Drosophila melanogaster: one gene and its partners. The protein of the gene in region 4 interacts with the protein of the main gene of each other region in a pairwise test. Each region holds a gene or a part of one and is shown on either strand. Other genes may lie near its edges. The genes, in order: CG13032, heca, CG45105 and CG43861.

Evidence for each region.
Region 1: the proteins of CG43861 (region 4) and CG13032 interact in a two-hybrid assay, tested with the Drosophila melanogaster proteins (one large-scale study listed by BioGRID).
Region 2: the proteins of CG43861 (region 4) and heca interact in a two-hybrid assay, tested with the Drosophila melanogaster proteins (one large-scale study listed by BioGRID).
Region 3: the proteins of CG43861 (region 4) and CG45105 interact in a two-hybrid assay, tested with the Drosophila melanogaster proteins (one large-scale study listed by BioGRID).

The regions. Positions count from the first base shown.
Region 1 is NT_037436.4:16,671,685-16,677,195, reverse strand, and holds CG13032 (uncharacterized protein), read right to left. Parts: upstream 3,233-5,511; 5' UTR 3,049-3,232; coding exon 1,651-3,048; intron 1,595-1,650; coding exon 1,221-1,594; intron 1,163-1,220; coding exon 952-1,162; 3' UTR 932-951; downstream 1-931. Other genes in the region: zetaCOP (coat protein (coatomer) zeta), read left to right, coding at 3,697-3,714, 3,772-4,139, 4,652-4,742, 5,354-5,401.
Region 2 is NT_033777.3:30,275,863-30,281,589, reverse strand, and holds the start of heca (headcase), read right to left. Parts: upstream 3,659-5,727; 5' UTR 2,647-3,658; coding exon 1,343-2,646; intron 1-1,342. UniProt on the Drosophila melanogaster protein: Required for imaginal cell differentiation, may be involved in hormonal responsiveness during metamorphosis. Involved in an inhibitory signaling mechanism to determine the number of cells that will form unicellular sprouts in the trachea.
Region 3 is NT_033777.3:15,913,902-15,919,995, forward strand, and holds the start of CG45105 (uncharacterized protein), read right to left. Parts: upstream 4,107-6,094; 5' UTR 3,904-4,106; coding exon 3,656-3,903; intron 2,822-3,655; exon of another isoform or gene 2,716-2,821; coding exon 2,505-2,715; intron 2,445-2,504; coding exon 1,056-2,444; intron 980-1,055; coding exon 895-979; intron 603-894; coding exon 485-602; intron 51-484; coding exon of another isoform or gene 1-50.
Region 4 is NT_033779.5:20,013,518-20,019,199, reverse strand, and holds the start of CG43861 (uncharacterized protein), read left to right. Parts: upstream 1-1,917; 5' UTR 1,918-2,380; intron 2,381-5,682.

The DNA of each region.
Region 1 (5,511 bases), on a different chromosome or scaffold from region 4:
AATTTCCCCCGAGTTTTCTTCGGCTTTCTGAAAGCTTTTCGCATTAGCAGCAATCCACTCGGATTCTGATCGCGTCCTTATCCCTACAATTTTGTCAATTTATCTGTGTAAACGAGGAGGACTTGAAGGATATTGTTCTTGTTTTTGCGGGGGAAATTCATGTTTTTAATATATAAATATTTTTGTTAAGAGAATAATAATTATATATTGTTTGTTTCTAGTGTTAAATTGAAGAAAGAGAATAAGGTGGAGATATCGTTTCGTTTCACAAAAGAAATCCTTGAAAGTGCCTTTAATTTGCTAAAACGTGTTTTTTAGATAAAACCAATTTACTAGGCTTATCAATAATAATGCATTAAAGAATCAATAAAAAAAAATATACTTATACTGTAACTTATACATTTTCATACCATACGCGAGCAATGGAGAACGAATTTCTAACGCAAATAATGAAGCAATTTACAAACGGCAACTAAAACTAATTTAATATGTGATTGCAGGATCGTTTTTCTATGGCAAGTCAAGCTATATATAATGTATTATTAACTTAACTTACAAGACACTCACACACACACACACACACACACATGCATAGCTATAGACAGCAATTAATAACAATTATATAGGCATAATGCAATTGGAAATGCTTCGAGTGGAAAGAAATCACCTAACAAATACTTGAATTAATCTAATCTTATCCTGAAATAGAAGCAGCGCCAAAGGCTTCGTTTTGTGAACGTGTTACAAATCAAATAAAAATTTATGAAAATTTAAAACTCATTGTTTTCGGTACTTCAGAATCAATGATGTGCATTGCAATGCCATGCAAGTTTAATAACATTCCAGTTACATATAAATATGTATATGGCATGACTTCTCGTCCAGTTTTTTTAGCATTGCAAAGAACATAAAAACTAATCAAAATAAAAATCGTGGTTTTGTTCATCTTCATTATTGAATGGAAGTCTCGCTCGTGCTTTTATCTGCATTTTTGCTACGATCGCTCAATCCCTTTTCGCGAGCTCCAAGTACAGTTTCAAGGATAATGGTCTTCGTACTGTTGATGGTGTCCTCGAAAAATTTGGCATCTGCGTTCTTCTCCTCGGTGATATACTCCAGCTTCTCTGTCAGCATTGTGATTTTTTCCTTGGCCAGTTCAAGACTGAAAATATAAGTAGTTATAGTTGATTAAGCGATGGGATTGCCGTGTCCGAACTTACTTATTCTTTAGATCCTCTATTCTGGGCTCAGGCTGTCCTGCCGAATTCAGCGTATTTGTGGACTGGTACTGGGACTGATTTTCGAAGCAGAAGGAACCAATCGATCCGTTAAGAGAAGTGCGACTCAGCGAACTGGCGTAGTCGGCCATTCGCTGGGTGCGTTTCTTCTTATCGGACTGCACATCGAGTTCCTTCTCCAGGTCCCTGATCTTGACCTCCAGTCGGCTGATACGGGCCTTTAACTTGCCAATCTGCTCCTGAGCTGCTTCGTTCTTGGCTCTCTCCGTCTCCAGACGATCTCCTAGAGTTTTGGTGAGCAACATAAGCTGATTTTTCTCCACCTCTAGAGCATCCAGGATGCCCACAAATTCCTCCTGCGGAATATAATTAAGCAAATTAATAGCTTATGTTTTAGTGTACAGAGTTTTACCTTTCGAAACTCGCGGCAGGAGAAGAGGAATCCGCCGGATAGGGCGCGCAGGTCCATTTCCAGCTTCTTGATCATATCCTGCAGACTGGCCATGGCCACATCCTTCTGCTTGACCACCGTCTGCAGCTCCAGATGCATACCGCTCAGCTCTTCCATTTGCCGGCGCGAAAGATCTCGCTCCTCGGTCACCCGGACCAGCTCGCCGCGCATGTCGTCCAAACGGTTCTCGTACTGAATCCTCTGCTGGTTCAGTTTGTCATTCATGGTATTGATATTGGTGCCATTGAAGTCGGTCTGCTCCTCCAGCTCATTGTATAGAATCTTGTACTTGTTCATCTCCTCGTTCAGATTCTTGTTCCTCACCTTTAGGGCGAGTGTCTTGCTGCGTTGATCCTCCAGTTGGTTTTGCAGGCTAAGAATCTCCTTTTCCAGAGCCTCCACCTTGGCTCGATGAAGAATCTCACTTTTACGCACACCCGGTGTAAAGCGATCGAAGCTGGCCGTTGTGGCTCCGCCGCCATCGCCTCCACCTAATCTCTCAGAGCTGGCATGATGTGATCGACAGCTGCCGGTTACCAACTCCAGATCCGAACCCAACGGCACTGGGGCAGCATATTCGGCTCGATCTACGGCTCGGTCCTCGTAGAAATCCAAGCGAGCCTTGAGCTCGTGCACTTTCTGGTTGAGCGCGATGATCTGCTGAGCACGACCGCGCCAATTGGCCTGATTAAGATTGTTGGCCAGGATGTTGATGTTGCAGCTCTCACCGATCTCGTGCTGCAGGCACTTTTGGGCCAGTTTCAGTTGGCTTTGTAGCTCGGTGTTCCTGTTTCGCGTTTCGAAGAGCTTCTGCTGCATACTGTTGATCTTGGCTTGGAGCTCATCGGGGGAGCAGCCCTTTTTTGGCAGATCCTGATTATGCTGCAGCTTCTCCTCGTGCGCACGCAGCTCCTTCTCCAGCTTCTCGATCTGAGCATCCTTTTTACCCAGCCGACTCTTTGCCTGCTCCAATTCGGAACGCATCTGGCGGTTCTTCTTGCTCAGTTCCAGGATTTTGGTGCTGGCAATGGAGGAGTTGCAGCGCAGCTCATCAATGGGCACGGAGTTGAGCACCTCGTTGAGCGAATCAACCGATTTCTTCAGGTCGGATATCTCCTGATTCTTCTCATGAATGGCCTGGGCCAGTGACTGCTTCTCCTGCTCGCATTCGGATAGCTTTTTGCGCAGCTTTTTGGACTCCGGCTTTGTTGGCTTTGGTTTTACCACAGCGGTGGTCAGCACCACATGGGCAGCGGCCATGGCATCATGGTCATGCCGACGTCGAGAGGAACGGCCCACTTTGCACCCCAACAGCTCCTGATCCCGATGGGCTACATACTCTTCCGGCAAAGTCTCCATCGCAATGCCCTCTAGTTGTTCACATAAAAATATACACAATTGAATCTAACAATTTCGTTGGCTGGGCGAAAATAATTTGTACGTGTGCCTGTTCTTGTTACTAAAATATTCACAAATTTTGGTTGTCATCAGTTGTTTCTAGGTTATTCAAATTTAAACCTCATTTGAAACAGACAAATCAAAGGCAAGGCAATTTTTAAATTTGGAACTCTTGTCATAATCAGGATTTCTTCAATAATAGGTAAGTTAAAAATAAACAGAGTTTCTGCAATAATAAAATTGACATTGACAATTCTTTTCTTGATCTTTCCAAACTGTTGTTTTATTTAAGACAGGATAATTTACATTTAAACCGTTATTCTTTTTTTACATTTACATTATTTTATTTTAAATACCCCAGCAAAGTACGGCCAACGTCAAGCAAGCCAGCCCCCCATGTGTTTCAAATTATAATTTAAAATATAATAATAAAACAACGATAACGGCTTAGCTAAAATTCAAAAATTTTAACAGTTTTTCTAGATAGTTTTAACTGTATCTAGCTATTTATTTTGTGACTCGAGTTGGCAGTACTGTTTAGTTGGTATAATTTAGCGGTCGCAATATGGTCATACTAAAGTGACGTGTAAGACACGAAAACAAGTGAAGATGGACGGATTTATGATGGTAAATTGCAAAATACACAAGTAACTGGCTTAAAATCAAACCCAACATGTGCTGCAGGATATCATCAAGGGCATGTGCATCATGGACAACGATGGCAACCGCATCCTGGCCAAGTACTACGACAAGAACATCCTGTCCACGTTGAAGGAGCAGAAGGCCTTCGAAAAGAATCTGTTCAATAAGACGCACCGCTCCAACACGGAGATCATTATGCTGGACGGACTCACCTGCGTGTACAAGAGCAACGTGGACCTCTTCTTCTACGTGATGGGCAACGCCTACGAGAACGAGCTCATCCTGCTGTCCGTGCTCAACTGCCTCTACGATTCCATTAGCCTGATCCTCAAGAAGAACGTTGAGAAGCGCCTGGTGCTGGAAAACCTGGAGATCATCATGCTGGCATTTGACGAGATCTGCGACGGAGGGTGTGTATTAGCGTATACAGTGATGGATGGAAAGAACAAGGGACCAAGTTAAAGCAGCTTTCATTAGCAGCAGTTCGTTTAGAAAACATCAAATTATTACTACACAAGTTCCCATAAATAACATTGTTATTTACTAGTCTATGAGTTAGGCCAGCTCAAGTGAAGCCTCTAAGTAGTTAACCGCATTTAAAGCTTCCTTTTTTTTAACAAAACCTAGTCAAGTCCAATGAAAAGTTATATGATAACTGCGATGTTAGGGTATAGGTACAAAAGTTTAATTATATAAATCAAACTAAATATTAAAATATATTAAACTTAAAGATTAAACTAATACATACGAGCACTGGCATCCTAGGCATGCAGCTCGTATAAGTTTTTAAGTTTATAGGCTGAGCTTTAGAAATCACCTGAGGTACAAAAAGATATACTTTGCCATTCATCACTGTATATTATGCATTACATATTATTAAATACAAATATTCTATTTAAACCTTTACCCGTTTTCCAAATAGCATTATTCTGGATGCGGATCCCTCGTCGGTGGTGAAACGCGTTGATCTGCGCAACGATGACATTCCCATTGCCGAACAGACCGTTGCCCAGGTAACTAACACCCTTAATGGTCTATTTTGGTAGTCTAACTACTTGGTAGCTCTTCTAAGTGTTTATAACTCAATGGTAGCCGTTTGTACTTTAATTTTGTCTGGTTTCGTTTCGCAATTTGATACCCTGCAGTCAAATATATTCTCATTTAGTTTTACCCGCCCTATGAACAAATAATTAGGCTCTTTGTTTTTCAAGACTATATGTAGTTAGTAACTGAGTTAATATAAGTTTACAAGCTTTACACATTTGCCTAGATTTATTTGTTATTCGCATTTTTGTTTAATTACGATCTATTTTCAGTTTCAACAAAAGTGTTTAAATGTTGTAAAATTGTACCTATTTTAATGAATGCTTCCAGATAATATTACTTATTACAATTTAAAGTAGTTGTGTCGGCGTAAATTTCTTTTTACCTTTTGTACATGTTACCGAATTTCGATTACTTTTCCCCATATCGCCCCATTCATTGTACTCCGAGAATGTTCAAAATAAAATTGGTGAAAATGTTCTGGAACTTCGCGCTCATTTTGATTTGTTTCATTAGCTAATTGATCGAAATTATTGCCGAGTATCTGTATCTATATATGTGTGTGCTATCTATCTTTTAGGTTCTGCAATCGGCACGTGAACAACTCAAATGGTCCATTCTGAAGTGATGTGAAATGGGGTGGCGGAAGAGAGGAAGCCACTTCCGTGCCGCGTTGTCGCAATACATTCGATTCTTCTTTTAGCGCCCACTTGTTTTCGCCTAGTTGTAAAGCATATA
Region 2 (5,727 bases), on a different chromosome or scaffold from region 4:
AAAAATGCTGATAAGCAGGAACCAAAAAAGAATGCAAGAGGCAAGAAATTGCATTTGAAATTGAGAGAACACCGAAACTTGGATACCCTAATATAGTTTAAATAGAAAAGGATCGGCCGAACTAAATATAGCTTTTACTTAAAAGCTTTTATAAAAAAGCAGATTTTACTGTTTATCGCTAAAACAGCAATTCCGCATTTTAGGTTAAAAAAAAGAGACATGCAAAAAAAAAAGTGTGGCCTTGAAAAGTGTGCAAAACAGAGAGTGAGATAGAGAGCGAAATCCAGAAGAATGAATGGAATTATGCCATAGAAGGCAAAACAAAGTTCTCAGCTTGGAAAGAGAGGGCAAGCTGCCGCGCGAAAGAGATGGACAGAGGGTGAGGGGTTGGGATTCTTAAAACCTGAAGATCGCGTTCAAAACAACAACATTAAAAAAAAAAAAAACACAAAAAGCGATCTAATTCCTCTTCGTGTTGTTCTCCTATTCGCATTTTTTTTTTTTTTTGATCGCAATGAAATAAATAATAGTATTCGCTGCTCTGGGAAACGGAAATATTAAAAGTAGGCACAAAATAAATAAGAACAAGAACACATCTGGGAAACATACCATACGATAAATGTCCGCTGCTATATGGCAGCATATAAATTTCAATAATTTTTCATTGCCTATGATTTATGAGTAAAAAGAATGCCAATGAAGAGTGAAGAACTACAGCAGAATAAAAGAAAGAAAGCCTTGACCCACCGAAAGCAACAAAACAAAAGATTATAATATTTTATTCATTCCCTCTGAGTTGATGCAAATCGTCGACTTCCTTAAGGGGAAAATATTCGCAAATTTCTCGAATAAACCAGCGCATTTTATTTAATATTTCTGCAAATATTGTCTGTATTTCGCAGCTGTTCAGTCGTCAAGGTTATATAATCTATGGAACCGGCAAACGAACGAAAAACGGGCAAACAAACGCCTCAATTGTTGATAACACTGTGCAACACGATAAAGGAACGAGAGTATCAATCTGGTATCTATTTGGCATGTTTGTTGATAACACCTGAAGCCACTGGAAGTTTTATCAAAGGAAAAGCTAAACAAAACTTATAACAACTGCAGTAAATAAATTCGAAATATTAAGGCCCCCCTTGTCGTTCAGTGTAATTGATAAAAGTTTTGTGAATAAATATTGAAACGCTTATGTACCCCAACCACATGCTGGGGAATTTCGCCACACAAATTTCGCTTTGTTAAACAAGTTAACCAAGTATTTAAGATGAAATTCTAGACAATAAGACTATAGCTCCTTATAATCTATATGGTTATCATGATGATATCTTGTACTTACCGCACTCGATCGGAATAGAGTTCGACCTCCTTGTTCTTCTGCTGCTGCACAAGTTGCTGCTGCTCGTAGCTGGCCAATGGCTTGAAGTTGCTGATATTGGCCAAAGCAGGCAGGTTATTCTGCTGCTGCTGTTGTTGTTGCAGCTGCTGCTGCTGCTGCTGCTGGGGAGCAATCAGCAGATTCTTGGACAAGCCCAATCCATTTTGCAAAAGGTTGCTGCCGAAAGCTGGACCCAGAGGCTGGATCAGCAGCGACTGCTGCTGTTGCTGCTGCTGCTGTGGCAGCAATTGCTGCACCGGCGACACGGATATCTCGCCACTGGACTGGGAGTCCGAGGGCGAGGTGGATCCACTGCCAGCTCCACTGGAGGATAGGCTGCCAGCCCTGGCGCGCAGGTCCAGGCCGAGGACATTGTTCGTATTGAGGATGTTGCTGAAAGTGGCCAGCGCACTGGTCTGCAGAACGCCGGAGGAGCCGTTGTTGCCACTGCTGCCATTGCTGGCGGTGTTGCCGTTGTTGTGGGGCAAACCCGACCCTATGACGCCCACATTGGGATTGGGCGTGAGTCCGGCGTAGCTGTTGCCGTTGTTGTTGCTCAAGGGGGTTTTGGTGTTGCCATTGACACCAGCACCACCACCACCGCCGCCGCCGTTGTTGTTGTTGTTGTTGCGGTTCCTCTTCTTCTTGGCCTTCTTCTTGTCGTCGTCCTCGCTGAGGCTGCCATTGGCCAGAGTGGGCCGGTTGCCAGACCCGTTGAGGTATATGACGCCCTGGCTGCTCGGCGGCACCCAGTCGAGGTCCTTGCGCAATTGTCCCCTGCCGCACTTGCAGCTGCAGGCCTTCTGGACCAGCTCGTAGCCCTTCTTGGTCCACAGGTGCTGCAGACGCTGCCGCTCCGACCAGGATCGAGCACGACCGTTGGCCTTCAGTGCCTGCAGCACGCTCGCCTCCCACCACTCGAAGCACTCGCGATGCATGTACTGGCCTGCGCTGCAGTTCTCGTTGTTGCACAGCACACGGATGCAGTCCGCCAGGGAGAGCTCGTTCAGGTGTATCAGGGTGTCCAGTTTGCGACAGTCTCCGCTGGGCAGGCAGCAGTGGACCATGCCCCCGCCGCCAACGCCGCCAACGCCACCGGTTCCCTGCATGGGCGCCATTAGGACGCCTGAAGAATTCACGTTCTCCGCGTAGAACTGCAGCAGTTGATGCTGCTGCGTCTGGTGCTGCTGCTGCAACTGTTGCTGGTGCTGCTGCTGGGTGCTGTTGCCGCTGCTGCTGATGTTGCTGTTGCGACGCGGAGCCATAAATTTGTGTTTTTTCCTCTTAATATGCACTCGTTGCGGCGAAAAACTTGGTTGGTTGGCTGGGTTGGCTGTCCTCGAGAATCCTCAATCTCTATTTCGAATCAGCATTTTGCCAACGATTATGAATTTCAAAATATTGCTTGTTGATTTTTTCGCGATTTTATGGTGCGATTTGCGGTCTATATAAATGCTGCTGGCATATATTTATTTATTTTTGAACCGATTCCAGAATATATTTCAACTGATGGTTTTGGCAGATCCAGTGAGTTTTCGTGAATTTTAGTGGGTTTTTGTAAATTTTTAGAAATTTTGCAGACAAAAGTCTGATTTTATACGGAATTTAATTTTTTTGTGTATAGTAAATGCTTGTTATTTTAGCGATTTAGTCTGTTTAGGTTTTAACTTTTCGGTTGCCTTTTTCAATTGTTTTCAGTTGGATTTTCCGAGTGGGTTTCTACCGAGATTGGTATTATTTTTAACTTGATGGGTAATTGCTTTCACTTATTGCTTTAAAAATTGTACACCTCCTTGCTGTGTGTATCAAAAATACTTCGAAAAATTCCCGTCAATGCAGTCTGTTGTGTTTTGCGTAATTTTCTGTTTTGTTGTTGTACCTGAGCTGAGTTTATTGTTGTTGTAGAACTTTAAGTATCAAAAATTGTTTTTTTTTTATTGTTTATCTTCGCTTCGTCCCTATCTCCCTCTCACACGATCGTTCGCTCTCATTCACACACGCGGCGCCATGTTCGGCAATTTTTCACATTTTGCTTCGCTTTCTGCGTTTATTTCTTTGCGCCTCTTATTTTTTTGCCGGCAAACAAAAAGGATTAGAGGATAGTGTAAATTTCCGATTGGTTTTTAGTCGCAGGACAATTGTAAACTGGAGTGTTCCTCTTCGATTTATTCGGTTTTGCTAGTTCTCCTGTTTTCCGTTTTTTCCCACCACGAGCGGCGCACGCAGAGAGAAGCCAAAAAACACAACCAACCAGATCGAAAGCGAAATTCAAACTGTTTTTGGTCTGTGCTTGCTCGCCGCGTTCGAACATCGCGCGTCGAACATCGCTGCCGGCGTCGCTGCTTGGCATTGGCAGCGAAGTTGGAGTTTTCCTCCACTCCGATTTTCCGCACTTCTTCATTCCGTTTTTCGGGGTTGGTGGGTGGTGGTTGGCTGGTTTTCACTTTCCACCACCGCCGCCAACCGCTCGCTTTTCATTCGGTGGAAAACTGAACAGATTTTTGGCGCTAAAATGAGAAATGGTGGGGGAAAATTGCGGAAGGGGCTACAAAAAAAGTGTCTAATTCACTAGAATTTTCCACTGTAGGCCAGAATTTGGTACATTTTCCCACTTTACAACGGAACTTTTGATAGCAGTTACATACTTGATTAGATTAAATGTCTTAAAAATATATGTAGGAGTTTAGACTTTTGTTAATAAGCTTCATTTCCATAGAAAATGTTTCTATCAAGCCGTATTTTCTTTAAACTAATAAGAATAATAATAACATGTTTCTAACTTTATAGCCAAAAAGGAATATATATTTCTCCCTATGTTTTGGTTCCAAAATTAAATGAATTCGATTATTATTAAATAATCTAAATTTAATTATTTATTAGAATTTTTAGATTTTACATCCATTTCATTTACAATTAGGAGCTCTCGATGATTCGCCAAAATTCACTTTCGTTGCGGCTCGAAGCTGGTTCGAATCAAGTTCGAAGCCGGTCGTTTCCCCTCCAACATGTTCGACTGCAGTTGCCATGCGAACGTCGAGCGCGTTGGCTCTGTTCCACATGCATGGAGCGTGCATATGTGTTTGTGCCAGAAACCGGCAAAGTAAACAACATGAAAACAGGGTTGCCGAGTCGCTGGAACTCGAACTTGCAGCGCACTTTTGCTTTCCGTGGCTAATCTTTTAATTCCAGTGGAAGTGGAAATGCCGTTCGATGTCTCCATCTCCCTCTGTCGGAACTGCCGTTCTCTGTCGCACGCTTCGATTGCTGTTATATATTTACATACAAACGTATCTATATAATCCCCTATATATTCGCAAGCACATTTGCACAAAAATACAAATACAATGAATGCATGCGAGTGCTGGCAATAAAAGTGGCAGAGACAAAAAGGAAGAGAATTAAAACATTGAACGAAAAAGAGTTGAAGATACCCTACCTTGAATTAAAACAACCAATTAAAACTTGAATACGCAGACCTATTACTGCTTTCAATTGAAACAAGTATGTACATATGTATGAATAATTGTAATAGTTAAATTGTTGATATTAGTCCTAAGATTACGAATATCGCAGGTAACTTTTGTATTATGACTACTTATTTGTGTTTTGACTGTAGGGTATTAAAGTTGCCACCAAAACCCAAATAAGCTTTCAAACGTAGAGCCTTTTTATTGTATCCTCGCCTTTGTGTATATATGTACATACACACATATAAAAATTCCCGCTGTGTTGCAAAAAAAAAAAGTATGCGAAAACGAATAAGAAGAAGCGGTAGAAATGGCAAAAAACAGGCACGTGTAGAACGAAAAGTGGTAAAGGGAAGGGATCTCGCAACCAGATGGGGTTTTCTTATAGGACTCAGGATCTCAGGATCCGGGGTTCTATTCTTTTGGTAACTGCGGTGCAAAGTCAAGGTCCAATTCCACTTATTTTCGAGTCAAACTGCGCAGTTTCCATTTTTTTCTCTCGATTTTGACCTGCCGGGTAGAAGAAGAGCGAGCAGGAGGGAGAGAACCAGAGGGTTCTGATATAATAATTAAGTCAGTCAGGTAGGCAGATCGGCAGCCATTGCGTAATAGGATCGTACGTACGAGTATATTTAGGTATGCATGTATGTAATTATGTATGTATAGGTTGTTTGTTGTTCTAGCTAAAGGATCGTCGGTGGAGAGGGTAAAAGAACAAAGGAGGGGCGAACTAGTTTGTTGTTGTTGTCATCGCCGCTTTATAATTCTCAAGGATTTCGCTTTGTGTTCTCTTCGACTCTGACCTAATTTTAATGACCAATGCATAACGAAAAAATAATAATAATAAGAAGAAGAAGATGGCATGTGTTCAAAGCGAAA
Region 3 (6,094 bases), on a different chromosome or scaffold from region 4:
GGTCAAGGGCTCGCTTGTTGTTGTTGGCATCACAAGATCGCAAATTGGTTCTAATTACCATGAAATTTGCGTGGCGGGTAGGCAGCAAAAGAAAGGTTTGAAGAAGTACAAGTACAGCGTGTTAATCCAGTCTCAAGCTAGGTCGAGATGTTTATTTTATTGCTTTTGCTTTGGTGTGGAACGAATGAATCTCGGAAAAGAAAATTGGTGTTCGGAATGTACTGGTGGGAAAACTTTGGTTTGGCCTCGAATTTCATATTGCGATGTGCGGTGGTTTCCGTATGTCAAAAGGCTTTCAATCAATTGCCCACATACCTTTTTGGGTGTCGTTTTGTAATAATTAACTGTGACTATATAAACTTAATCGAACTGGTATTATTTAGACTTACACTATAGTATAAAATAGATTTCTAAAAGCCAAATCGATTTGAGTTTGCAGAATTGCTAGGTGAGATACGCTTAGGTATTATTTGATCATAATTACTTGTGCTTGTAGGTCGTGTCCTCTAATTTGCCCGTTAAGGTTTTACACTCGTTGGTCAGTTTATCCATGAGTTGCTTCTGAGATGTTATCATTTCCTCAAGCTCATTTACCGTTCCCGCTACAAACAGACATTTAACGGTTTAGTTATATATGTTTTATGTACTTTGATATGGGACTTAATGCAACGCGCTACAGAACAAACTCATGGATAAACTATTGAATATTTCTCTGTAGTTGGTTTCGAGTTCGAATCTTTGGAATATAGTTGACTTTATATCATTTGACACACACGCAGAACACAATAGGAGCATCAATAGCTTAACCAGAGTTCATAGGGAGGATAGTGATAGGTGAAGAGGGTGTAGAAAGATAGAAGTAATCCAGCTAAAGTGTTAACTCGGCCCACTTACCATGCTTATCCTGCAATTCAGAGATCCTTTTGTCCAGATCCTTTTTGGTAGGTCGTATCTCGTTCTTTAACTCCCCATAAGCAAGCTGTATGTGCAATAAACATTAATTTTATAAGCAAACAACAGGCTTAAAAATTAATACAATGAATACTATGATTTACCTCCTTTTCAAGATTGGCTATCTCATCATTGAGCCGCAGTACTTCTCGTTTGGAGTGCAGGAGATCAGCATCCCCGCGATCAAGGCGCTGCCTCAGCGAATTTATTTCTGCATTAAGACGAGCTGCCTCCGTTTTGGCCTCCCTGGCAGCCCGATCCAACTGAAGGCGCAGCGAGGTGATGTCCTGCTCCAGAGATTGCTTCTCTGCATTCACCTGCGCCATGTCCGCCAGGAAGGTGGTCCTATTGGCTCTTAGTTCCATTTTCAGCTCTTCGATCTGCGAATTGCGACTGGCCACATCCCGCTTGAGATCTGTTTCGTAGCGTTTTTGACGCTCCAGATCCAACTGGAGCTTGGACACCTGCTCCCATTGGCAACTCAGATCTCCGCCCAGTTGATCCACCTGGCTGTTGTAGCGCCTTTCGGCACTGGCCCGCTCCTCGGCCAACCGCCTAGCCATCTCGTGCTGCAGCTCCCTGACCCGCTCGTGCTGGCGATCCAGTTCATCCCGGAGGTGGCGTACCTCCAGCTCGGCCTGGGAGCGCTCCATCTGCATCAAGTCGTTGATATATCGCTTGGACGAGGCGCTACCCTGGCCCTGAGCCTTTGCCTCGTCCAGAAGCCTCTGCAAGTGTCGAACACTTTCCTCCAGAGTTTGCTTATCCTGCTGCAGGCTCTCCAGCTGCTTGCGATGCAATTCACAGTTGGACCCCCCGGACAAGGTGGCCACAGTGGTTAGGGGATCCGTATGACTCAGTTTCCGCTTTAGCTCCTCGTTCTCGGTACGCAGACGCCTCAGATCGATGCTGGCCTGCATTAGTTCGGCTTCCAGCTCGCTGATTCTGGCCTCGTAAACGATATTGGGTGCACTTGCATAACGAGGACTTTGCACCTGTCCCTTGGAGGCACCTTTCCTTGGGGTCGACGGGGTCTTACGTCCACTGGCGAACATCAAGTGCTCGTCACTGTCCGAGGAAGGACTAGTAGTGACAATTGGATGCTTCGAATTTCCCGAACCGAGACCCACCAACTCAGAGCGAGCGTTCTCAGTCAACTGCTCATTTTCATTGATCACATCCTTGACTTTACCCAACAGATTGGTCAGCTCGTTGCGACAGTACTTGGATTCCTTTTCCAGCTGTTCGATGTAGTCCTCTTGCTTTTCGATAAAGCTGAAAATCTCCACAGGAGCCGGGACACTGTCCGAGGGAAGAGGAGCAGACGGAACTGAGGCGCTCGGGTAAAGCGAAGGAGTGGAAGCTAGATTCTCCTTGGAAGCCGAGAGATATCCCGAGGCATAGCTCTTCTTGGGGCGATAGGAGCTGATCCGCGACTTCTGGCTGGGCGACAAGTACTTGGAAATGTCCGAGAAGACGGGTCGCTCAATTACCTATAGAAGTATATGTAGTGTTACAGGAATTCCTTGCACTGAATTGATTGGAAAACGAACCGATAGGTTGTCAGAGAAGTTGTCCCCGGAATCCTCGTTAAGGTTGCGCAAATAGGAAGACACTCCTCCTCCCAGTTTGGGTGCCACGTACGAGTTGTCGGCCAGCATTACCTTGAGGCGACCCACTGCCTCATTATAGGCGTAGTTGGTGTAATCCATAGTCTTGCACTTCTTGGTGATGCCTCCCTTCGAAGACTTCATCGGGAAATTTCTAAAAGTTAAAAAAAAGTTGGAGGGCACATCTAGGATCACATTTTTAGACTGAATTTGACTACGGAACAAAGTTGCTCAGCAACTGAAGTGGAAAATGGAACTGTGCCCGAAACGAAAAAAACCTATCTGAAGCTGCCTTTCGGGGTGACAATTGGAGTTGGTGTTGCAGTTGTTGCCAGGACGACAGGTTGGCCAAAATAAAAATTTAACCCTGCTCCTGTGGCCGAGTGCATGCGTCATGGTTGAGCAAACACCTCCACAAGGGTTGATAAATCCTGGATACCCCATGGCAAGTGGTAATAGAGCAACATATAACTCGATGATTCAAACTATCTATCAGTGTTAACATACACTAAGGAATTTAAAAAAAGCTGGGTTGAATGTAAGTCCAAGATTTCTAACTTTTAATTTTTGTAGTTATAAAATGAAGTATTATATAATAGGAAAGAGCACACGATTTTAAAAGTAGTTCCTTAAGTGAAGTCTAATATAACTTCTAGATTACTCAACAATATATACGGCCCAGACTTAAGAGATAAGACATAAGAGAATATATCTAGACATGATTTTTTCCATTATTTTTGTTTCTTTGATTAAAATATATCGATTTCTACGTTCTTGCATTGCTTAAAATCTGTTATGGTCTAAATTTCACCTGGCTGTAATAAAATGACTTTTGTAAAACGAAGACCACAAAAAAAAAATCTTTACAATTAAAAAATAATTTTTTAAGCTTTATTCCCTAAGGTGCCCTTTGATGACTTAACCCTACAATGTTGTGCAGCTGCTTTGTTATTCGCAAGGAGAAGTTGACGTAAACTGCATCTGTCAGTTCCTAAGGAAATAACTACAACGAAAACAACTTTTGACCACATCTCAAGACATCTCGAAAGTTTTAGCTCCCACTTGCGCCCTTCTCCTCCTTCCGAAAGTATTACCTCGATCGCCTCTTAATCCGGCCACCCGCACTGCTGACGCTCGCGATGCTCTCCCTGTCCGAGTATCCGGTGGACCGCTGCTGGGTGAGATGACGCAGGTCGTCGCTCGTCAGAAGCGGCGACGATGTCAGATGGCCGATGTTGCCGGTGTGGGCTTGCGGTTGGTTCTGCGAGTGCGAGTGGCTCCGGTTGGTATTTTTCGGTTGGTACAAAGGGGCGCCGTACTTGAAGAAGTTGTCTGCTTTCATTTTACACACAAGGGCATGGGGGCATGGGGGGAACTTGGCTAAAAGTTTGTGGCACAATCCAACATGCAACTCGGCAATGGAGCAGGGGAATCACTTGTGGTATGCACTTCCTTCCGCCTTGCGGTTGCACTTTAATTGTTTCTTTGCTTCTGCAAAAGAGTGAGCGACAGGACGACGACGCGATGAAGTTGAACTGAAACGGCGGCAAACACAAGTCGGGGCTTTTATAGACTCGTTCGGCCCAATATCCCCCATCCATGGGTATATATGGTTTAGTGTGCCGTGGTAATGGGTTTGGTGCCACGTCGTGCCCTGTCAGCAAGATTCCAAAACACTCCCATTAGCATTTCCTTCGCAGCAATGCAATTGTCGCCATGGCAGCTCACCAATTCGATGGGGGCTTGTCCTGGAATCTCTCCGGTATTGGCTCGTCTTCTGTTTGATCGATACCAAAGGGGGACTCGTCAATGCACTAGAGACACGCTCATTTGTGCCAATATTTGGTCATATACATGGTCCCCACTCTGCTCCTCTTCTGGGTTGTTCAACTTTGGGCTTGTCTCTCTGTGCGAATCGAGGCCAAAAACGTTTTCATTGCATATCTTAAGGGCTCCTAACTGGGTTTATTTCTGCAGTTATATTTAGTTTTGGGTGGATTTATTTATGACCTACGTTGCTAATAGCTGGAGTAATTTAATTAGGAGTAATTAAACTTTATAAGAGAGTAAGAAGGTCAAAGTGTCAGAGTGAAATGCTAAGAGTTGAATTAAAAAGAAATTCAATGAATTCAATTGAAATGGGAAAACTAATAAAGGCCAATCGGGTTTTCCATATTAAATATGAATATTCTTCATACAGTACTCTTACCAAATTCCTTTCGAAGACTATTAAGTTTCAGTATTCAGCTGCCAGGGGCCAGCTACTGCCACATGTGGTAACCGCCTAGACCCGCCAACAATTGATTGTCGATGTTCCTATAACTTATGACCAAATCACAGACATTTAATAGCCCAAATAACTCAGACTCGGTAGCCGTCGATGCAACAGCTCCCAGGAACCCAGCGACCCCACGGCCCCCTCCACAAGCCCCGCAAAGCACCCCGGAGCACCCAAAGCCTGATCAGGAGATCCGAGTCGAACCCATCCCAAGTGCAGCCACACAATCAATCAATGCAATCTCTGTTATCATGAATAATTTCCTAGCGGGCAAATGCACAGCAGCAAGCGCATCAGCAGAAATTGCAGCGGCAGAGCCAGAAAACCCTTTTGGCCAAAAAAAGGGGCAAAACAAACCATTTTCCTGCACACTTTGAGCCCTTTTCCATATATTATCAGCTTCTTGCGATTTAATTACCCAGGCCATGGAAAACAACAGCAATAACAGCAACAATAGAGCAGCAGCAACAGCTACAACAGCAGCAAACAGTGAAATTAACCCTCTGAGATAAACGCATAATTCCGTGTGCAAAAATCTGCAAGACAATTCATAAACATAACCTACACGAAAAGCACGTCTCTGAAGTGGCCGTATGTGTGCGAGCCTTATCGATCGTGGTCAAGAGCAGCGGCAAGAGACCCGGGTCCAAACCATGTCCAGTCCCAATCCAAGTTGGAAGCCCTCGGGGCGCTCTCAGCAATTTTCATTGCTCCAGCCTTAGCTCCGGCAACAGCAACTTCGACAGCTACACAGGAAAAATTAATTGTTTGGCTTCATAAATTCATTGTCATAAGTCTTAACATCTCATTTTATTGAGTAATCAATTTGATGGCCACATGAGCATTAGGAAATACTGCAGCTTGAATCCTAATTCAGTGTATTCTCGTAAGACACAATATTTTTGCCTGTGCAAAGTTGCAGCTCGAACTCTCTGCTGTGATCGTTGTCGCGATCTGTTGGCCCGGTCGTCCTCCGACTTGCTCTGATTCTGCGCCCAACAACAATGTGGTGCGGACCGCTTGCATTCGCTGCTGGCATCGCAGTCGCCGCTTACGTCGCTGCGGCCTTAGCTATTTACAACACTGCATTCCTGCGCCGCAGTCATTCAAGAAGAAGTTAAGAGCTGGGCTGGCTAAAACGCAGCAAGCCGAGAGCGGACCAAAACTGAGCTGCCGCAGCCAAAGTCGAGCGCTGAACTTGTTTCATGCTACTTGGGCTTAGTGTGTGCCCGATCCCCTATGCCGAGCCCCGCAC
Region 4 (5,682 bases):
TGCAGTTCTTTTCTAACACCGATTGCATCAAAGTCCTCCTCCGCTCAAGTGGATTATGTTTCTTTTTGCATCTTGCAACTACTACTACTACTATTACTACTACTATCGCCTGTCCTGAGGCACCTGTTGAACCCACACCGATGGCCATATTATTTACCTACATCTCAATCTCAACCATAATCACAATATTTACACCTTTCTCCGTCGCTCTTTCGATGCTGGCTTCCGCTCCTCGATGGAGGAAACAGTGTTACACAAATGCAAATCAATTGTAAATACAAATAGAAAACCTGGCCGAAAGCAGTGGAGCAAAAGGTAACATTTACTATAAATAACAAAACACCGTTAGCCTGAGGAAATCTTCGCCAAAGTTGGAGTAGTAGATACACCTGAAAACTGCATACAATCGATGTAAAAATTTTATATATAAAATTTCTCGATGCTATACAAATGAAATATAATTTGGTAAGTGTCCTCAAGTTTTGAGTAAACTGTGGCTGAAAATGCACTTCTACTTGTTTACCTAAAATGTTGCCAAATAGTTAGTTGCACAGTTTTTCTTTCGGTATTGCGACTGCAACTAGAAGCCTTGCGTTTTCTTGCCCTGGTGTGAATTTATTGCTTAATCATGCGACTTTAAAACGGCACGGCTGGCAGGTAAAGGCAGCTGGGTTTTGGATTCGGTTTTAACAAGGTGAGTGCTTGTCCAACTGGACGCGCTCCGTTTTATTTTCTGGCCATATTCTACGGCATCTTGCCGGTAGAAGAACGAAGTTCATTTGTGACTGCAGCTCAGTGTCGTTTGTTTTATTCGCCGAGTGGATGATGAATATATAATATAGATAGATAGATATATAGATAGATATATAGATGGTTAGATAGATAGGTAGATAGATAGATAGATAGATGGTAAGATAGATAGATAGATAGATAGATAGGTAGATAGATAGGTAGATAGATAGATAGATAGATGGATAGATAGATAGGTAAATAGATAGATATATATAGATAGATAGATATATAAATAGATAGATAGATAGACAGATAGATAGATATACAGATAGATATAAAGATAGATAGATAGATAGATCAACCGATAGATATATGTTAGATAGATAGATAGTTTGATTGCAACCTGCCAGCATGTTCGATTCTGGGCTGGCATGTTGAAGTTCGATTCGAACAAGCTGGTGTTTGAGTCCAACAATCTTGGGCTTAAATTCTTCTTAAAGTATAAAATAACAATTCCCTTAAAATTGAGATTTAGAGTTTTACTTTTGAGTTCTGGCTAAACTTATTTTTATTAGATAAACAACAATCCTACTTCTCGAACCCTTGCTTCTGCCTCTGCGGTCATTTTCGTGACCAGATTCGGAATTGTGAATAGTTAGGTTGTGAGCTCTTCTAGAACAGCTGATATGCAAATATGATAGAGGTTAGAATTGACCATGTTTTGATTATTTATAAATCAAATCAAGTATTAATAATATCATGTGATGATGAATTTTGTCGATTTAAAAAATGTGAAAGTTTTTGTTAGGTATGTAAATAGCAAACTAATAACAGAGGGAAATTTAGTTCCGTGTAAATCTTTCGACAGAGAGTCTTAGAACAGGATGTCTTGGAAACTAAAAGACGTGAGAATTAAGAACAATGCTAAATAATTTTAAATGAAATATATCCATTAAATATTTCTTATTAATGAGATATTTAAATAAGGATTTCTTTACACAGTTCAGTATTTTACATCGAATTTGAATATCACTCATACGCCTGTGTTAAAAATTATATTTTCACCTGGTTAGGAAGGAGAAAAACTGAACGGAGGCAAGGCAACATGTTCGAATCGAACTCGCGATGCTTTCGCGCGGGTAACTAACTGCGAACATAAAGCTCACCACTCAGTCTAAAAACGAGTTTCAACGCGTTCGGCTGCCGACCCGCTCGATTTTTGAATTCATTTTTTGGCCAGGCCCACTGAAAAAAAAAAGAGAAAAAACCAATCGAAAACAAAGCCTCATTGCGCCCCATTAGGCAAATGCTAAATTAGTCCGTTGTGTAAAGGTGTAAAGCATTATTTTGTCGAAATTCGCCTGCCGCAACAAACCCCATTTGCTTGTGTTGGTTTAAGCCCAATTGTTTGGCCAAAGTACCGCGGAGTTTTGTAAAAATATTTCTGGAAAATCTTCCCCAAAGTGCAGTGATTGTGTTTGTGTGCTCGTATCGTTTGTAGAACGGTAACAGGTAAAACAACATCAACAATCCGAGTCCGAACGAGCGGCCGATGTCGGTGAATATAACCATTAAAATGAAGTTAAAGTCGCTCCCGAGCTGCATACAAATGCTGCTGTAAATAAGTCTAAACAAACACTTGCATTTGGTGAGTTTCAATTGCCTCAATGGGCTTTTTTTTTGGGTCTGAGGTCGGGGGTGTTGGCCACATGTGGAATAAATCATAATTAGTGGGGCTTAAGTCTCGAATTGGGTTATGGGTACAACGGAAACTTAAGTGTGGGAATCAGTGCTAGTTGTCTTTATTTGTGAAACTATTTCGAACTGCGTTAATTGTGGCCCAGTGGTTGCCGTGTATACTTATCGCATTAGCGCGCTCAAGGAGCTGGAAATAATAGATACGCTAATAGATACATATGTGGTTTTAAAATTGGAGTAGATATAAGAAATCAAAATAAATATTCAAGCTACTTTTTCGCTTTACCTTGCTTAACAGGTACTTTAAATTGTGTTTTGATTTTAATCAGATACATTTCTGACCATCTGCAAGTTTATACTAATCCAAAACTATATCTATATAACTATATAACTCCACACCAACTTTTCCCTTCACTTTGTGAACACATTTTTCGGGATTACATTCTAAACAGAATTTCCGTTAGTATGAACCAAAATGTAGCTACTTAGTTTTCCGTTTTATTTGTTTCATTTTCTACTGCTCTCTGACAATTTTTGTCGCGAAAAAGTTTTTGGGATAGAAAGTTTATATTGTGAGCTAATTTGAGTTTGCATGGATAAAAGGGTAGAATTACGTTATATTTGTAAGTGTACATTTGGCCATGTGAAGCCATTTACCAATTCCAGGTAGTACACATTGTAGTCTTGTTTAAGCCGTTAACTCTGGGCGGACTTGAGTTCCTTGACTCTCGGTACTGTTCTGAATTATATGGAAGCAACCCGCAAATTTTCAGTGCTTGTGGAAATTATTTTCCGACAGTTGCTAATAAACCTGCCTACTTCATGGGCACAGCTCGCAACGGTCATTACTCATGCCAAATCTTCTGTCACTTCACACCTTCTCCGTCTAATTCTACGGTCAACTTGTCAACACGATGTGAAGTGGGGTCTGTGTGCGTGAGAGCTCTTAAGCCTTATGCAACAGCTCAAATTAGCCATGCAATTTGTACTTAACTATTTGCAGCGTCTTGTTGCAAGTTGGGGTCTTGGGGAATCGAAATGGAGGCTGGCGACTGGGGGCTGGTGACTGGAGAATGGAGAATGGAGAATGGGGTAATGGCTTCCACAGGGCACTCGCTGCAGAGGCGGGAATAATAAAATGTCCAAGGACTTGGAGCGGACAAGCGACAAGTTTATCACTTGTTAAGCCAAACGCTGCAGACATGCAGCCGGCTTCATCCTGCACCATTCCTACCCAGACGCCCAGTCCTACTCCTATTCCTACTGCATCCGAGCACCCCGCTCCGGGAATCCAACTCTAGACAACGTCGGCGTCGAGTGGCAGGCCCAGATGGGCGCGGCAGATAAGGAACTGGGCCCAGACCCAAAAGAGCAGGCCAAGAATAGGGCGTTCTGGGTCCGATCCTATTTGCATGCCACTCGCTTGAAGTGGGCCACACTCGGTCCGGATGAAAGCGGATATCAGAATACACAGAGACAAGATGTGAAGCGTTTGTAATCCAAATCCATTTACTCATCCGATCTTAAGTCCTCCAGGGAGGAGGTAGGTGTACTTTAAATCCTAATCTGAGTTTGGCCTCATACAGTCAAAATGTATATAAGATAAAACAAGAAAAACATGCATTTTAGTGCAATATATGTTGGATAGTTTGCGAATACTGGCGTTCGTCACCAAAGTTTCCTGATTTATTTTCTGTGCACGATTGGATGAGACAAAGGAAACATATAAAAAACATTTATTATTAATTGGTGCGTGCTAGTATTTATAAACCTGCTTTACAATTTCATGTAAATTATTTCTTTTATTCGTAAAAAGCTAGCCATATTGCATTAAAATACATCCGAATTTTTTTGTTGCTCTACAAACAACTACAAAATAGTTAATAATATCTTTAGACTGCAATCACTGTTTGGAATAAAGTTTTGCCATCTATAAGCCATCAGGCAAATCGTTTGCTATTATATTCATAATCCCAATCTAAAGCCAATTGGATGCCATTTTTGAGTATCCTTAGGCAGCTGGGACTTAAAGTTGAGTCTAACGATATGGTCCCGACCTTTTCGGGAGTTCCTCGAAATGGGATATCATCCACAGCCCGTCGCCCAAAACGGAGGCTTTCGCAGACGCAGCTGCTCCTCTTTCATTTGGGCCATTTAAATAATGGCTGCAAATGGCTGGGTGACAATAAAGAAGACCGGCAGCCACCACAAGTGAAGTTACCCAACAAAGCAGACTTCGGCTATAAATAGTTGAGAAAAAGTCAGGAAACGAATGTCAACTGAAAAATTACGTATACGCAGACATCGATGCTCATCGATAGTGAGACATGGGCTCGCTTTCGTTTCCGCTGTTGAGTCGAGCGTGTTGACTTTTCATTTTCCAATTTTTATTTAAATTTTTGTCTGTCGAACGGCGTCACTCTTGTTTATGACCATTTAATTGACACGCTACCTGGCAGTCGAAGCTCTTCTGGGAATATTTCCATTTATTGAGGCCATGGGACATAATTGATTATGAACTGGGGAAATTGTGCCAGTCAATAAAGAAAATCGCACTGTCAAGATCGAGGAGACAGCAGCTTTAAATGTGTGCACATGTCTGGTTAGCATTTTGGAAAATTGTGTATCAATGTCACTCAAGTGCAGCGTCCTTCGACTTCGAAATTTGATCCCTTTCTAATTAAAATATCTGTCCTTAAATATCAAACACAATGCAAATATTATGAATGTGCAAATATGTCAACGAATTATCCGTCAGATTGTCAGTAAGGAAATCTAGGAAGTCATTCTAAATGAAATGTTACACTGGAAAACAATATTCGAGGAATCGAAGATATGCATTCAAAAATAGCATGTAAAGCAATAATTCAAGTTATCATTTAATTTTATAATTTTCAGCAATATATAGATTTATTTTCTAAGTGCACCAAACGAGCCATTAGAAGGTAAGCAATCAGTTAATCTACCTCACAACTCAAGAGCTACAATTGAAATCCTCTATTAAATCAGCTCTCCACTCACAAGAGCACTTTGTAATTAACTCTTACAAATCTATTAGAATAAACTTTCCCAAGAAGCTCGACCAATTAGTATTATTAAAGTGTTGTGCTGTTCGCAGGCAAGAGTCCCTCCATTTAGCCAGGCCAAAAGAACAGGTGGCTAAACAATGCTAGTCACTCCTTTGGATCTGCCCGAGGTCGTCACTTTGATTTGCACAAGGTATTTGCAGGGAGCAGCAACAATGGCATTGCT